Linked DNA regions of Stegostoma tigrinum. The protein of the gene in region 1 binds, or shares a complex with, the protein of each later gene. Links are inferred from orthologs where the notes say so. Each region holds a gene or a part of one and is shown in the gene's direction. Other genes may lie near its edges. The genes, in order: igf2bp1 and elavl4.

Region 1 (9,267 bases):
ATGGCCTACGGCTCCTATATTGTATTAGTTTCGGAGTTAATATAGTAGGAAAGAGCTCGGGGTTTGACCCTGATTGTTGTTGAGACACTCTGCGAACTCATCTAATTATGAATTGAATTCAAAACCAAATTTAACTTCCAAAAATGGAATAATTCGACCTTCGCTACCTGTGTCCCGTGGCAACTTCAAAATCCTACTGAACAAAACCTGCTCCTGATAGCTGAGAGGACTGGAATTGAAAGAAGCCGTCAATACCTTCCCGATCTGGGTATGGGGAGACGGGAGGGCATGAATAAATCGATGTAAAAAGTGTTATAGCAAGATATCTTCGTTAAAGGCAAACCGCTGAGGACCCTGGGAATCTAAGAAGAAAACAAAGTGCAGGAGAAACTCAGCAGGTCTGGGAGCATCTGTGGAGAGAGCATCGGAGACCTAACAAACTCTGCTGTGATTAGTACCCCAGTCTGCCCAATTTCTATCCTCATTCACACTTTTTACATCGCAAAACTGAATTTTGTTTAAAAGTTAATGGCTTTAAGTGATGTTTTTGGTTTGCAATGCATTAAACATAAACAAGGTTCTTTTGAATGTGTGATGTCCTCCGCGACGTTCTTTCATCAGACATCCTGCGCCTTGCTTCATATCCAGAGCTCTGAATAACCCCATTCAATGTTTATTGGATTTAGTTTGAAAAGGACGGTCCGTTCCCCATTGGCATCAACACGAACTGTGACTTTACTTCAGAGTCTGGGTTCAAAGAATATCTAACGATTCATATAAAGATAGATTTATATTTTAAATAAACCAACTGTATAGGCATGAGGTAGCAGAATTAACTTAGGATTGACTGAATCTTGGGATTAGTGAGACAAAGTTTTGTATGTCATTTTCACAGTCTCACGGCATCCTAAAACGCTTCACTATCGATGAAGGTATAGTCGCTGCTGTAGCAAAAGCGACAGTAAAATCGCGCACAGCAAGCTCCCATAAGGAGCAATATGAGCACGTACTTATTTAGCTGGTCAGATGTCTACTAGCGTTTAAAAACTATATCTCTATTCGTGAAATGAACTTAGCAAAAGTCAATATCCCTTTGTGGTTTTTTGACATGTTGGTGTTCCTTTCTAATATTTTAATTTTGACTTCGAACAATCATTTTAAACAAAAGTTTTCCATTGACAGATTTGTTGTCTCTGAAGTCCATCATTTTGTCTAGATTTCTGAGTCGAGTTTCTTCTAAGGCGATTCATTAAAATGTTACCAGTTAACTAGTTAGAAGTCAAAGAAGTTTCCAGAGTTCAAGTGCATGGTCTCCGAGTGAGATCTTTAGTCCAAAGACAATCTGGGGTAGAATTACTCTGGGGAATTTACGAAGCGATCATCAACAGAGTGATTTGAGCAGGCCCTTCTCATTTTGCACAACATTCCTCTCATACGTGCCTACCCTAACGAAATGATTCCGAATTCCGATTCGAAGCAAATGAAGTTTCTGTGGAGAGAAACCAGAGTTAACATTTCGAGTCCAGTAACCCTTCTTCAGAACGTGTTTTTATTTGTAAAGTCTCATGTTCTGCAACTCTTTTTTCCAGTGAGGTGCACACTGACGGTTTTATACGTCCAATTGTTAACAATAATTAAGACTTGCCTCCAAACTAATTTCTAAGTCGGTTTTATTTGGTTCAGTATAATTAAAACGCAACTTTGTCTCCAAGTAACAATCAAATTGTTCCGCTCCTACAGGACACTGACTCCGCGACGTCAGTTACTGTACCTCAGCTTCCACAGTCCCATTCATGTACAAGCTGAGTGGTTAAACTCATCAGGGACATGTGTAGATTTAAGGCGACGATATCAAACTTTTCTCTTCACACCCTTGCTTCCAACTCTGTCCTCCCATCCCTATTATTTATCCTGATTTCTGAAGTTCCCGCAACATTTAACGTGTGAAGTTCTTTCCCTTCACTTTTCCAACCTATTGTCCAGATGATCACTAACAGCGCAAAGAGCGAAACTGTTGATCTCTGCGAGTTTTCAACTCGACCCCCGCGCCCATGACAACCACAAACACACACAAAAAACATATTTTAACCTAAATTGTAATCACAGCATATTGTGCGCTCTTCAAGTCCAGATCTCTTTTCACAATGAAACAATCTATGGCTCCCCCACAAGTCAAGCCACGGGAGCCATCATTATTGCATCCCTGCGGGTGTAATTACACGATCCAAATGGGTCGAGTTCACATCCTGCAACAGGTACGTGCCACTGAGTTAATGCCAAGCGGTGTTTAACTCTCGCCAGATAAGTTTACCCCGTACCCCATCGCCAGACACTGTGGGTCGCGTCTGGGCAAATTTGAATTGGCCGGGGGAAATGTGGCGAATATGTCCCTTTGAGACACATCTTTATTTTCCAAATCCATTCATTTAAGGAAGCATTTACATCTTTAAAGCGCCTTTCTCAACATCAAGGCTCTTCAAGGTGGACCAGAGTCAATGACATGACCGGTTCAGTTCTCACATAGTCTAATCGCGCACAACAAGATCCCACAAACAGCAATGTGGTTTTGGTAGGTCCACCCATTCCAGTGACTGATCTGAACGGTGATAACGTATAAAACGTTCAGCAGGACACTGGTCCGCAAGGTTCTGGATTCAATATTCCCGTTCGGGGAACGGGGCTAGGGGCGGCGGCGGGACAGTTACTAATTAGGCTACAATAAAACGCTGCCGACTCTCGACAGGCCAATATATTAGAACAGAAACACAGTTTATTCCAAAAGGCTTAGTATTTGAAGGTAGAGGTCGATACATTTTTAGACACAATTAGAAGGAAAGGATCCGCGAGTAATACTCGAAGACAGAGCTGAGGTGACATGATCTTATTGAATAGTAAATAGTAACAGAAAGCCGAGGGGCCGAATGACCCACTCCCGCTCCCTTGTGACTTTCTTCTTCTGTGGAATAAGCTTCTCCCGGTATTCGATGTTGACAGTTTTGTTTCCAAACACATTAATGAGCAGGACCTGCAAAACACGTTCTTCAGAAATTGCTGGCAAAGCTCAACAGGTCTGGCAGCATCTGTGGAGAGAAATCGGTTAAGGTTTCGAGTCGAATGACAACGTTAACTGTGATTACACTCCACAGATGCCCTCCAGACCTGCTGAGCTTTTCCAGCAGTTTTTGTACTTTTTTTGTCTGATTTACAGCACCGCAGTTCTTCCGGTTTTTACAAAGATCTATTGGAATCCAACAGTGATCCTTACCGAATTCTGGTCTTTGTGCAATTGAGCCATTAAATTGAAATGTGGAGCGTTCTGCCGCGTAACCTGCTGATAGTTGCAGTTTTGCTTCACCTGGTATCTTGTGTCGTTTTTCGTTATTCACAGGGCAGTCAGTAATCCGTGAGAATGGAATGGGGAGGGTGGGGGGCACGGTACGGTGGGGGGCCCCGTTGGACAGGAGGAGGCCGCTCGGTCCCTTGAATGTGCTTCTCTCTAAAATCAGAGCATGGTTAATCTGGAGCTCAATTCCATCCTGCCACCTCCTCAATCCTTTCCTCTCTTTAAAAAAAAGGGAGAAAATGTAAAGATCACTCAGTGTGAGATTATATTTCCCACTGCTCCAATCATGGGTAATCATTGTTGAACATATGGAGCTCCTTTGTTCAATACGAATAACGGGCAAGTTACAAGATAGCAGCTTGTATATGGAGATTGTATAGAACTGTGTAACTAACTTGAGAGAACAACGTCCTGACGTCCTATGATTTCTCTCTGGAATAAATTTCGCTCGGTATTCGATGTTGACAGTTTTGTTTCCAACCACATTATAGGGCAGTTCCTGTAAAACACGTTCCTCAGCAATTGCTGGAAAAAAATACTCAGCAGGTCTGGTAGCCGCTATGGAGAGAAGACAGAGTTAAGGCTTTGGGTCCAATGATCCTTCCCCAGAACGGCTTTGCTTTTTTTTTAACGAAACGTTAACTCTGCTTTCTCTCCATACATGCTGCCAGGCCTGCTGAGCTTTTCCAGCAATTTCTGATTTTGTTTCTGGTTTCCAGCATTCGCAGAACTTTTTTTTTGGTTTGATGTTCTTCTGGATTCTGGCCTTGGGAATATTGGACACATGTTTGAGAGAGAAAAAAAAGCGAAAGTTCACGAATGATCTCCCAACGAACTTGCCTAAATATTCCGTCGGAGACTTGCGTTCTAAACTGTGTCGTGGACTTCACCCTCAGAGAACATGGGAACGGTTCCAATGTGCAATATTTACCTCGTGCCAACTGATAGGTGGCGTGGGTGGCTGGAGATGTAGGTGGTAATGCGGGGATGATGTGGGGAGGTATGGGTGTGGCAGTAAGTTTGGGGTGTGCGGAGAGTGGTTAGAGGGATGGTAAGTTAGCAGCAGAGGTTGGGAGAATATTTTTTAATGGGTACAGCTCTTTTGATAAAGTCATTCAACATCAAAATCTCTCCCATTGAAAGATCTTTTACAGCGATTCCCTCACAGGACGCCCAGAGGCGGTCTTTTCAGACATTGCTGAGTCGGTTCAGCCCCAGGGACTAATATTGAGCCACTGCTCTCCTGTGTCTTTATGGTTTGACCCTATGCGACTGTTGTAAGGACTGTAAACTCCTGATCAGAATACCTCTGCAGAAACGCGAACTAGAAGAAATCAATTCTAAACCGTGTGGATTCAGAGTTTCCTGCTCGTTTAGAAAGTTACGGGGAACCGAGCAGACTCCTTGTAGGAGTCGAAATGAACTCAATCCCGTTCACATCCCGGGGCGATGTGTGGGTTTTTTTGCTGTTGTATGTGATGAACCAATTAATTCTTAGCTTACCGAGCAACGGTGGATCGAGAATGATTGTAGAGATGAAGGGCACAACACTTCTCATCATACTTAAAATACATTAAAACAATCGATAACATTCACCTCACTCAATGCCCTGCACTCCTCAAAGAAATAGTTTCAGAATGGGAGGACACTTGGAAAGTCACTTGGGTGTTGGTGAGTCAGGAATTCGTTCCAATAGAGAGTTTCTGTGAAAATGCACTTCCTGTCGAAGGTCAATGGGTAATTTTCGATATTAATTAATTCTTTTATTTGGAGTTAGAACTGATCGCTCCACTCCTGAAGGAGCTTGTGTTGGCTGTAACGGATGGCAGGCAGATGGGTACGGAACAGAGGAGACAGTGAGCGTAGTGGTGTCCAACCAGTAACTCTTTCATCAAAGCTCAAAGTGTTATAAGATTCAGAAGCCGAGCCCCCACCCCCTTCCTCCCCACTCTCCCCCAAAGCCTCCTCGACTGAGGAAAACTTTGGCGCCAGATCGCCATAGCTCATTGAGAAAAAAATGCCACCACCCAGGAGATTTTCATTCAAAAAAAATCCCTCCTGAGTAAACATCCTCCAGCAGCCGGCGAGAGCTGGGCGCTGTTGCAGTGCTATTGAACAAACCCACGTTATTATGGGACTGGCGTGAAGGGCTCTGCAAGTGGGGGGTGGTGAGGAGGGAGAAGCAGCCAGGGTGATGTTGTGTAGTAAACAAAAGGGATTTTTGTTTGTGTGTGGTGGGGGGGGGGGGGGGGGGGGGCTCGGAGGGAGGTGAAACTGACGTGATCTTCCACGTGAGGGGCCGGCCGTGTGTAACCACGTGGACCTCTCCCAGGCAAATATTTCACTCATTTTTTAAGGTCGATTTTATTTGGAGGCGGTGCCACCAGCAACGTCCTGTGACATTTTCAGTTTGACTCAACGGGGTTTGGGGGTAGCAGATAGACTTTCACAGCCCGCCATACCGTTTCATAACTCCCTGTTTCCGGCTAACACTTTTTCTTTGGCCGTTTTGTGTTTTTCTCTCTCTCTCCTCCCTTTGCAACAACCGTTTACCATTTTAGTTGCTGCTGCTGGTGGGGTTTTTTTGTGTTGTTGTTGTTGGATATATCATTATTTCGAAGGTGCTGTTATAATTTTACACCCTCCCTTCTTTGCTCACCCCCCCAAAAAAACAGAGAAGCCCTAAGAATCACAATGAACAAGCTGTACATCGGGAATCTGAGTGAGAGCGTGACTGTGCCAGAGTTAGAAACTATCTTCAACGACTGGAAGATTCCTTTTTCTGGGCAGTTTCTACTCAAAGCGGGCTATGCCTTTGTAGATTGCCCAGATGAGAGCTGGGCAATGAAAGCGATCGATACCTTATCCGGTAAGCGATTTCAACCGATATCCAAAACGCAGGGGAGAGCTGAAGCTGTCTTGAGAACGCCGTTCACTCGGCGAGATTCTGTGTTCCTACCCAGTTCCTAGCAATGGCCTACCTACCTCCTACTCCTCCAGGCTAGGAAAAGGTTCTGTTCTGGAGAGAGTTGCACTGGTCCCTTTTTAATTTCTGACCAACACGTTAATGATTCGAGTCCTCCACTCCCTCCCCAAAAAGCGTGACATGTTGATTGTACAGAAAGATAGATAATAGAGATTTTAATGTAAAGATAGGGGGTGGGGGTGGGTGGGAAAGACGCGCCAATTCCTCCTGTACGTGAGAGGGGGCTTTATGTTTCTGGAAACCAGCAGGTTCTCTCTTTTTTTTAGTCAATTACACTCAACACACGCGGCGTTTGACCAAAAAAAAGATAGAGGAAGAGTCAGATTGCTATTCCGTCCTTTGGGAAGAAATCGCAGATAAGGAAACCCAGTTGGGTCAGATCTTTGGATCTGCTGCGGGATCTGGTTCCCACCACCCCCCCCCCCCCCCCCTTCCTTTGGATCAGGGTGTCTCTTGGAGAGAATGGTTCGATGCTAGCTAGTCCTTCCCCTTAGTGATAGTAGGCCGTCATTTGCAAGCTCCGTTATAATACCACGTTAGCAGTTTTAATTCTGTCTCTCGTCTCTTCGACACCCCCTCCCCTTCCTCAGGCGACCAGTCCGGGTAACATTTATCCCTCCTTCCCTCTGACTGGCCCCCCAAAACGGCGGCTGTAAGTGAATGCCGGTCGCCCCCAGCTCTCTGAATGATTCCTGAAATTGAATACAGCCTGTGATGGGGCACACACAGAGCCGAGGTCGGCCATACTGATTGTGAAAATACTATAGGACTGCAAGCATGCAAATGTCTAGGGCGAAAACCCCTATGCTATCCAGATAAAATATAACTTTCAGGTCCGATATATAATGTATTTCCATGTGTGTTGGATATACATAGCAGCGACCTCATCCTAAAGTTCCTCAGTAACTTACTAAGGAAATTAATCCTCAATTATGCACAACAGATTTCAACCCTCACACTCTTTTTAAAAAAAATGACAATCCATCCTGATAAAAACAGGGGTTCATTTCACCCAGTGTGTTTGTACAAGTGTAGACGAAGAAGGCGAAACGCTATTTTACTAAATAAAATTCAAATCGAACTTGTTTACAGGTAAAGTGGAACTCCATGGGAGACACATAGAAGTGGAACACTCAGTACCCAAGCGGCAGAGGTATTAGCAATTTCAATACTTGTTTTGCTTTGAATATTTATTTGGCGATATCCTGGAGAGTTGTTATGAAGTGAATTAGACATTTGTTTCTGGTTCCTGCTTGAAAGTGTGTGTGATTAAAATAAAATAGACGTACAAAGTTGTGAAGCTCTTCAGAGAAGCTATTTTTAAAAAACTGTGGTTATACTGTGCTGCAGTATGGAACAAATTTCAAATTAGTTGTTTCCTGAATCTATATGATGTTATTACAATCTTGAATTGAGGCGAAGTAGTGCAGCAATTGTGGGCAGCAACCCGCGGCTGGAACTGCAATGTGTTTTTCTGGAGATTTAAAGCGACGGGCGACAAAATAGGTTCAGTGTCGAGGAGCTGGATCCAGTGATTTTTGTTGTAGCTTTAACGAGCTCTTCCCGCTTTTCTGCTCAGAAATTTAAAAGGTCACGATTTGAGAATGGGGAGAGGGTGGACGGTTAGAGATGCACCATTTCCAACACTACCCCCACCCCCAACCCCCCACCTTTGGCGAAACCGCTCAAGTAGATCACGTTGCAAACGCTGAAGCCTTGCTTTGGGTTCAAATCTCATTTGACTCCAAAGCCGATTCCGGGAACGCCTCGACCTACGGGAGAGAGCTTGCAAGAAATGAGCTGAAGGGGCAGTGGGAAAATCAATCTTCCGAGTTTCTTTACCACCCTTTCCATTTTCGCTTTGAATCGCTAAGGGACGCGTTGTCTCGAAACTAAGGATTCTTTGCAACAGAACTGTGCGAACACGTTGGCATTTTCATGTCCCTATATTGCTCTGAGTGCAATAGTTAACGAATTCTGTTTGATGTGTTTTGCCATGCATGACCTTTTACAAAACGGGATGCACAATTCCAATAAGAAAGTTTGACTGAGTTCTCATTCAGAAACCCAAGTTAAAACATTGACCCAGAATCTAACATGATGGCTATTCAGTGTGGAACCTGGTTTGGGTTACAGACATACCTGTAAAAGTATTTGCTTGTTCTTGCTTTAAAGTATTTGGTGCATGTGTATCTTTGCTTATTCTGATAAACTGGATAGTGCCTGTTGTAAAATGTCTATAAGTGCTGGTTCAAAAGATACCATAAAAGAAGTTAAGCACTGGATTAGAAATAATCACTTGATATCAATTCATATTATTATGTATTTAAAATGATAGAGTAGAGAGAGCAATTTATTAGTTCGGTTTAGCTGCAACTATTGTCCTCCATGTTAGCATTTTAACCAGACAGTTGTATGCTTTGTAACGCAACATCATCTGGTGTGTTAGATATAATCCATGGAGGTTTGTAAATCAAACTGTGCCCCCCCCTCTGTATTTTCAAAAGGCTGAAGATGAAGTTTGAATCAGCCAATTTGAAAGTTTTGAAAAGTAGTTACAATATTCAGCAAAACATAATTTAAAGTCAATTGTCATGGCTATAATCAATGATTTTAAAAAATCTGATCAGAACATTCAAAATTTAGTTAAGAACCTTTTGCCTTGTTCTTTATTGATGAACCTGGTTTGGAAGGAATGATGAGTAAACACTAAATATATAGACTGCAAACACAATTTATTGTTTTTACTGCCCAAGTTAGTTAAAAAAATTCAACAGTTAAAATTCAATTCTTTGGTGGTGGTGAACTACCTACATTCTTTACTGCTTTATTTAAAATATTCTATTATGTTTACATTTACAAAATTTAAAGACTTTGCATATGAAACCTTAACATCCTGTCTTCCTGAAAGAGATGTAACTATTTTGTTTTGTTAAAA
Region 2 (8,995 bases), on another chromosome or scaffold:
GAAACTTATCTTGCAGGTATAAATCAGAATAGAAGATGATGATTTCTTCATGACTACATCGGTTCAGTGTCCTTTGATAAATATGTTAATTTCAATTCAGACAATTTTGTTTATTCCACATTTGAAACTTGCATCAAACCTGCAAGGTCAGCTTTTTTGGAAGTAACTTAGTCCATGAAAGTCACATGTATTAAATTCAAATTATGAAAATTAAAAATTGATAGTTCACATTTTATCCGTACAGTGATGCTTTGTGGCGTCTTCCCAGCCCCTTAACAATGTGGGCAATGGCAAAACAGTGGTAAAATGTGGTCACTAGGAAAACAATGAGATTCTCAACATTGAAAAAATAAAAGTACCCTTTGCTACACAAGATTTAAACTGCAACATGAGAATCTTGCTTGCATTAACATCTCATTATTATCTAATCTTACCTCATTTATATGCAGTTTGCTATTTTCCCAAGGGAAAAGAGAAATTAGATGGCAACAATGACTGACACGAAAGCCTGAGCAGGTAGCTGGCAATTGCAACTTGCTGTCATTTTCTTGATATATTTATCTTTTCCAGCATTCCCCAGCACCTGGGGGTACACTCCATCACCAGCACTGACTGCACACTGGCATCTGCAAAGCGCCAGCCCTGCCAGAGGCACATCAAGACATATTTGGGACCCAATTTTGATACAGTTCAGCACTTCAATATTGAACTTCAGAACTCACCAACACCTCTTAGATTAAACGCAGCTTTATGTGGATGCACAGACACCTATCTCATGGGTCGGAACTGGTGCACCTCAGGCCATTGACTTAATTTCTTAGCACTAACACAATTTGCACGTGCTTGGATGCTGACTGTCTTGCTTTGACTTTCCTGTTAGTGCAGACAGATAATCAGGCAGCTTGTCATGTTTTGCAACAATGAACGATAAAGGGGGACAGTGGTCAGTCGGGGGGGGCTAGTTTTTTGCCAATCAAGAAAAGCGGTGAGCTGTCCTAAATTAATGAGTAGAAACTGCAGATGCCAGGAGAGTTAGTAGTTAGGTTGAATGAAGTGAGTGAAAGTCATTTAGTGAAGATGTTACATGCAATATTGAGAGTGACACTCCATGAGCCGTGAGAGGTGGGTGCAGTGGCAAACTTAGGTTGAGTGCAAGCTAGCGGAGGGAAGGAAGTTAGTGGAATTGGCCCTTGCCAAAGGTCATTGATCATTGCTCTGCATTCCTCTAGACCACGGATGTTATGCTAACCTGGGTGCCTATTTCAGACCAGGTTGACAGTGTTTCATATAGTACATAGCTGGGTTTAAAAGTGGCACCTGTGATGCAAAAGCTGGAAGGTTCCAGCACCAGTGGGCAGTTTATTGCTCGTTAGTGCAAGAAAGCATGAGAAGGTGGAATGGGGATGTTGTCCATACTTAGTAAGATGAGCCACAGAGAATTGCATGAGAAAACCTGATAGAGTTCAAAAGGAAACCCTCTATGAAACCTCTTAAAATTGACTCTTAACTGATTTTTGGTAAAATGCAGCCTACTGTGTTTTATTGATTTAATTATGTTTCTTTTATTATTGTTCTAAGTACAATTCATATGGTGGTCAATAACGGATTGTTACATCTAGTCCTGTTCCTGCTTTCTGTATTCTGCAATCAGTTTTATCTTGATGTTCCCATACTGCATATCTCTGCTATGCCAAGTCAATAAACAGACTTACTTGCATCTTCTTGTATTGGGGTGAGCATTCTTTGTTCTAAGTGTTTCTTCTTCAGCAGCAATGTATTTTTTAAAAGATACATCAGTTTGGATTTTACATAACCTCTTTATTGGAGAAACCAAACACAGAATGGACAACCATTTTGCTAAACACACCTGCTCAGTCCACCATCATAACCTGTTTTTCAGGTTGATTGCCATTTTAATTCGCCACTTTGCTCTCATGCTTACATCTTTGTCCTTAGCCTGCTTAACAGTTCCAGAGAAGCTCAGCACAAACTTGAGGAACAGTACATCACCTTTCAGTTGTGCACTTTGCAGCCTTCTGTGTCATTATCATGTTTTAGCTTCCAAATTAATCTATTATATATTTTTGCCATTAAGACCTATTCTAGCCCAAAGCTTTGTTTCTTTACTATAACCACTTACTTTGCCTTTCGTTCCATGACACATTTTGTCATTTAATCTCCGCCACCCACTACTCTATCCGAAACCTTCCTTTTTGTTCTATTGCCCCCTTCTCAGTTTATCTCCTGGGTCGTGATGCCAACCCTTCCACTGAGTCCTGATCTGCAGTGAAACTGCACATGCGTAGAATGTAGAAGTAAGCATTTCTTTACAGCGCATTTCTTATGCTCCTTGATGTCAGCAAACTCAGCCTTTCTACTCCCTTCACTTGCAAAGAAGGGTCATTTGGCAAAAAAAATTTTTCCTCCACAACTGCTGCCAGGCCCTCTGAAGCTTTTTCTTGCGTGCTTCCAGTTCTTACTCAAATTCCCAGAAGCTGCAGTATTTTGCTTGAATATGAGAGAAGATAGCCATTACCCTTAATGTTCAATAGCTTCGCCTCAGCATCAACATTAATTAGGAGCTGAATTAGCCCAGCGAGATCGATGCTGAGATTATTGCAACTAGCTGTGATTCCTAGAATCTTCAGGCCTCTATGGTGAGTCACTCACTTCCTGGCACTCCAAAGCTTTGCTGTCACCTGCAAGAGAGAGAAGTCAGGAAAATGTGAGAATACTCACTACTTGTCTGGTTGGATGCAGTTCTCACAACACTCTGTTTTGTCTCAAATAGTACTAAGCTATCTGCCTGGTTTGGCACCACATCATTCAAATGAAATATATATCATGGGCATATTGGCTTTGTAGTGTATACTTTACGTAGGGTTCTTGAGTAATTCTTTCCAATTCTGCAACATCCACCACTTTTGAAGAACGAGGACAGCAAATGCATAGGACATCGACACTTCTAAGTTACACGCCACATGACTCAGACATATTTCACCATTCCTTCATTGTAGCTAGGTCAAAATCCTCGAACTTAATACTGAACATATTGTTTAGGCCATGTTCATCATTTCAGCTGCAGCAATTTAATAAGAAGGCCCATCGCCAACTCACAATGGGAATGAAAGATGTCCAGTAAGTACTGACCTTCTCAACCTCTCTGAGATTACTTTTAAAAATTTTCCCCATGGAATATTGGACACCTACCACTTTACTGCATGAAGAATGATATTTTGGGGCTGTAAGCTCAGGTGACTTGCTATTTTGTCAAAGAATAATGATCACTGATCGTGCCTTGTGATTCTGATTTCACTATTGACTACAGTTACTTTACCGATAAAACACAAGTAGAATGTCCAACGTAAAACCATTGTTCAGTTTTCTCCATATTGTATGCAAGCAGGAAATAGTCTCAAGGGAGAATCCATTAATGAGGCTAGCATCTTAAAAGTGAACTGCAATCAATTTTTCAAAAGGAAATCTTCATAGCAAAATAATGATATTCTTTGTACCTGCACAGTGAAGCAAGCGCTTTCCCTTTAAGTTTCAGCATTATCATTGCTCGGTTGCTGCGCCAAGTTTCACCAGTTTGTAGAGGCATAAATTAAATTAACAAATCCTAGGATGGAAATGACGAAATTAGGACTGATGAAGGCAGCTTGTTTTAAACCTATCATGTGGATAGCTGCATGCTTGCTAGTGCGGGTGCATCTACATCCTGTTTGACTTCTGCTGTAAGTTGCAGTAGAATTTCAATTAGACATAAAAGCTTAGGATCGTCTTTTTCACCCCCTAAATGCCATTAGATCAGAACTTCAGGGCTATAGTACTGTACTAATTGCATAAAGAGACTTGTCAGGAACGGGGTTGCATAAATTGCAGGTTATGGTTAAAAAACAAAAAAAAACACTTATTATAGAATCTTTGCTTTGCTGAGCATGAAATAGGAATTGCACACACTTGCTAGAAACTAGTATGAAGACCATTTTAGAAGGATCTCATAACACACTCCATCAGTTGAAGGCTCTGTTGGTTCTCTAATAGACTGAAAGTGACACTACCATGCTGTTTACTATACTGTGCTAAGCACTGTTCAGTGGTACAGCAGATGGTGGTGCATCAATAGGTCAGTATTGATTTAATAAATGTGCCTTGGGGCAGCACCATATTAGGTAAGTGCTTATAACTAGATTTTATTTTTGATTACAATTTCCTCAAAAACAAAATACCTTATTTAAAAAGTAAAAGGTCTGAATTCTAACATGTATTTATTCAAAAAAATAGATTTTCTTTTTACTCTCACAATCATTATCTATTCTCAGAATTAATTCCATCATACTGTACTTTTACTTTCCTAGTGCAGTGGAAAATAGTGTACAAATTAAAGAATTGTCTTGTCTATTAGATATTCTTTAATTAAAGCTTGAATTGTTTAGCATTGTACATTTCTCGGGCAGAAATGTTGAAATCGTTATGTGGGCTGTAGCTTCAAATTAAGGCCCTATTCAGAAGATTTATTACCCTCAGATGCTCAGTCTCTGTAGGACAGATAGAACATAAATTCTGTAAGGCAATTTGGAGTGCAAGCAAAATTAGAGTTTATGCTATAAAATAATCAATTTATTCTATTAATTTAGCAAAAACATGAAACTGTTACAGAATGAATTTGTGAGTCTCAAATGTCTGTGCTCTTGATAACAGCCTTTTGTTTTAACCTTACTTTGGATTAATTCTTTTGAAAAGGTATTTTAGTTGTTTCCAGTCACTATGAATTCTATCCTCTGTAATAGAGCCAGAACAAATATTTGATATTTTGATCTCAAGTCAGGCAGATTCCAGTTCAATGGTGTTTTTCTTCCACGACTACACCTTGTACATTGTTTTGATTCATATAGAGGGGGAGTATGTACTAAGCAGTACTGAGTTTATTTGGAATTCCTATTGACCGTGCAAATAGTACGAAAATAACCAACGGTGATGTCTTTTCAGGCCTATTTTAGTAGACATTATTTCCTCATCATGAACAAAATATTTTTGAACTAAAATTGCAAGCTTTTTGTTTTATTGTTAATTGTTATGATGATATTGGTCGTAAGATTTGCATGGAATTATCATAGAGCTTTCAATCAGTATCGGCATTCCTTATACCTTTATTGCTCAAGTTTCTGAGATTAGTTTAAGGTATACCAATGACTATAAAAATTTACAAAATCTTGATTAATGTAGGTGCAAATATGCTTTTTTTTCTGTCATGTGAGTCAAGGTTTATATATTTGGAAAGAGTTTAGTTAGAAAATTTAGAGGATAGAAACAAACTTAAGTTTGGGCACACTGCTCACCTTGTGGTAATGCAGGGAACTGTAAGTGGAGAGGAACATTTGCTCAACAGCCATGTTGGAGTAATATAATCTGCCTCAGCAATTCGTCTAACACAGTCTTAATGTGAACTTGATAAAGGAAAATTTGCATTGCTGTTTGTTGGGCTAGTACTGGCTAAGACAAGGAAAAATTGACCAATCTTGTCGCCTGGTCGAATCTGCGGAAAACAGGCCCCTATGCTAATGCATTTGGCCAAATGTTTATCAAAAGAAGTCTTTTGATTGTGTAAATCTGAACTGTCAGTATAATGTTTGAAATTGGCAGAACACTAAATGCTGCTTTATTGCATAATGAGGTAAGGTGTTTTATTTTACTGGCAAACAATATTGCATATTATTCCTTCCAATTAAACTGTTATAGTGTTCAGATAATATATTTAAGATTTCTGCTGATGATGTGGTACTTAATTATTATGTTACATTTTTTGTTCAATAGATTCAGAATGTTTGTCATATTTTGTGGGCTATGGCCTGAAGATTATATTTAAAGCTTCAAAATACTACAGAATAGGTGATTATTAATGCTGAATTAGCTGGTGTGGTTTGTGTGAGCTCAATGACAACTGATGCTAATGTTAGGACAAATTTCATGTTGGGAGAACTGCTAAGAGATAACATTGACAACATATAACTGAAGTGAGGGGTTTCTGTGTATAGTTTATGAATAACTAATCACATTTTTTAGAAAATGGGCAACTTTATATGTGGAGTTGTAATCTGACTGATCATGTAAGTGATTGCTCATGAAGCTAGAGAAAAGCTTATAATGGAAAATCTATGTTCCATTAACTGTTGTAAATTACTAAGAGAATACTGACAGAAATGTGCTCAACACAAACTAAAATTGTTCTTTGCTTCTCAGTATAGTTGAAAAACATTTGGCTTGTAATCCTGGAACTGTTGATTTCTTGAATTATGGCATGCTGGTATTGTTTGTTGAGCCAATTTCTCTCAATATTACAAATTTGTTACCGGTTCTATTCCTTAATTTAATAGGTTGAAAATATATAATTTTGCTGTCACAAAAATATGCCAAATATTGACTTCTACCCAGAAATTTTTTCACTGTACCTTTCAGTGGCTGCAGTTCAACAATTAAGAGTTGTGAATTTTTTGGTGCAACATGACTGTTAAATGTATTTGTTTTCTTATAAGCAATGGCTGTACTTATTTATATTAACTCCATCATTTTTGTAGGCTTTTGCTGAGATTTGTTAACTCTTCAGTTTAACATGCCGGTTTGCATGTGTGGTAAAGAGACAACATAAGCTGACAAAATAAATTTTGATATTACAGTATAGAAATTTGTTTCAAGTCAGATTGAAGCCCGTACATCATTGATGGGACAGTTTTGAATCACATAAATATTTTTCAGTTTAGTAGAATAAAGAATTCACGAGAGTAGTTTAAGGGAGAAAACCTTGAAGTTGAACTCTGAAATAAATTCACTTTCTTTATATAATTCTCTTCATGCACAAAGTAGACTGTGAGCCCCAAGGCTTTGTATTAATTATGCACGTTTTGAGAAAGCAACTGTCAGAATAGATAAGGTAGTTGAAACACATAAATTTTAAAGCCCAGTTTGCTTCACAATGGTTATGTGATGCAAGCATTGAAGCATGACTGAGATATGACATCTTGTCTTCTCTACATTTCATGTTGAAGATTGCAAATCCAGAGTACACAATATTAAGGGAAAATTTGTGTGTGTGTGTTGGTTTCTTAATTTCGACCTAATTACCAGAGACATTGTGCAGTTCAAAAGCTCTTCTATGTTGTGCATAGAGGTCACTGCATCATTAACATCGTCAATCTGGTAAAAGCTAATTTCAATAGCAGTTGATGTCATGACAGCCTTTTATTTTTCTAGCCAATCAGACACAAGCAGTAGTGACAGATGGTCCCATAAATGGGAGTAAAAGGGTGAAGAAGCCAGCCAATTCTGTGAGCTGATTTGTTGCTTCCTGTAGCATAGATTCCGTACAGCTTTCTTTTGTTTTGCACAAACACTTGCACTGTGCTTTTGGATCTTTAACAGAGGAATTGAAATATTGTAGGTCTTCTCCTGGAGATTTCAAGTACGATAAGATCTAATCCTGTGCAATAAGAATGGTTATGGTATGTACTAGGACTTGGTATATTTTAATCTACTTAGGAAACGTACCAAAATGGTTCATTTTAATGTAGCTTTTATTAGTATAATGACGAAAGTCTATCTGTGAAGAAACAAATGAAATTAAATCCTATACCCAGGCTTCAGTGAAGGGTCCAAAAATAGTATTCAGCATTTACAATGACTTAAAGGATGTGATTTATGTAAGCACCCGTACAAACACATATTGTATTTCAAAGAGTTTGCAGTTGTGACCTCATCAGAGAGGAGGAGGCTTGTATGCTGTAGTATGTGGTAAATGTTGATTTCTTGTAACTCGAAAAATCAGTGTTGTAGAGGAGGCATGTCTGCTTTTTACATAACGTCCTTTCAGTTTTGATTCACTGAAGACTACAAATTTCTTGCTAATCAAAAATGGAATGGGGTGGTTTAAAACTGGTAGGTGATTAAAAGATATGCTATTTCCTCAGCATCAGTAACATGTTCTTTTGGTTTTAATACAGTATTTGAAAACATTTGTTCTTTGAGTAAAGGAATGCCTTTTGGTTTTTATGCATATTTTATTTGAGATACATGAGCACCAAGGCTGTAGTGTTCATAAGCATTTATGGGAGTTGAGTAGAAAAGAGTTATTTTTTTCTCCATTCAACGCAATCTGTGGGCTTTATCATCAGCTACTTGTTTTGATGGGTGCAATATAAATAAGATTAGACTGAACAGCTGAAATGAAAGTGATAGCTAGAAAGAAAAGCCTGTGAAAGGTTGCCAGGGAAACAAGCTAAAGGAAGCTGAACAGAGAGCAGGTGGCAGTCATATGGGAATACCATGAAGCAAACGGTAGAACAGGCACTGTGATTGTCTCTTCCATTCTGTGAGAGTCACAACTTTAATTGTTTCAAAAGGTGTTAATTATATTCCAGACTGGAGGCTAGCTCATTTGAAGCTATTATTAGACATCTGTGCCTGAAATGTGAATGGCATTTCATTGGATTTTCTTTCTGTGTTGCTGAACTTGTCAAAGGGGACGATATTGTGAGAGTCAATAAGTAAAAAGAAAACTGGTCAAATAAAACCCATAAGACTAAATTGTGAGTACTACATTGCCAGTGGTTGTTACAGATATGACTAAAATTTTTCACTAGGCTACCCTGTTCATTTGAATTATTATTGCTGAGCCAATTTTTTTTAACGTTATAATACTTTAGCAAAGAGGAACACATTAATTGTTCAATTAAAGTTAAAACTGTGATGCGTTTGATGTGAGGAACTGGAGAAAGCAAAGATATCTAACTACAACTAAAGCAGGATGAGGGTACTAACTGTTTATAGAATATTGTTTGTCAAATGAGTTGCTCTTATTAGTTCAATTAGTGTGTGTGTGTGTGCGTGTGTGCATGTGTGTGTGTATAAATATAGTATAAAAAACGATTTCATATGCTAAAGGAAGATGGGCTGTGCATTATAGGGTTATACCAGTCTCTGAATTTCATAAGGCCTAAAG

What was found.
Region 2: igf2bp1 (region 1) and elavl4 share a complex: the UniProt entries of both Homo sapiens proteins name them as parts of the TAU mRNP complex. The link is inferred for Stegostoma tigrinum from reciprocal best matches to the Homo sapiens genes IGF2BP1 and ELAVL4.

What each region holds. Positions count from the first base shown.
Region 1 is NC_081384.1:4,738,080-4,747,346, forward strand, and holds the start of igf2bp1 (insulin-like growth factor 2 mRNA-binding protein 1), read left to right. Parts: upstream 1-5,757; 5' UTR 5,758-6,037; coding exon 6,038-6,212; intron 6,213-7,421; coding exon 7,422-7,482; intron 7,483-9,267. UniProt on the Homo sapiens protein: RNA-binding factor that recruits target transcripts to cytoplasmic protein-RNA complexes (mRNPs). This transcript 'caging' into mRNPs allows mRNA transport and transient storage.
Region 2 is NC_081361.1:61,862,451-61,871,445, forward strand, and holds the start of elavl4 (ELAV-like protein 4), read left to right. Parts: upstream 1-5,384; 5' UTR 5,385-5,629; coding exon 5,630-5,677; intron 5,678-7,334; exon of another isoform or gene 7,335-7,490; coding exon of another isoform or gene 7,491-7,499; intron 7,500-7,781; exon of another isoform or gene 7,782-7,908; coding exon of another isoform or gene 7,909-7,932; intron 7,933-8,367; exon of another isoform or gene 8,368-8,582; intron 8,583-8,995. UniProt on the Homo sapiens protein: RNA-binding protein that is involved in the post-transcriptional regulation of mRNAs. Plays a role in the regulation of mRNA stability, alternative splicing and translation.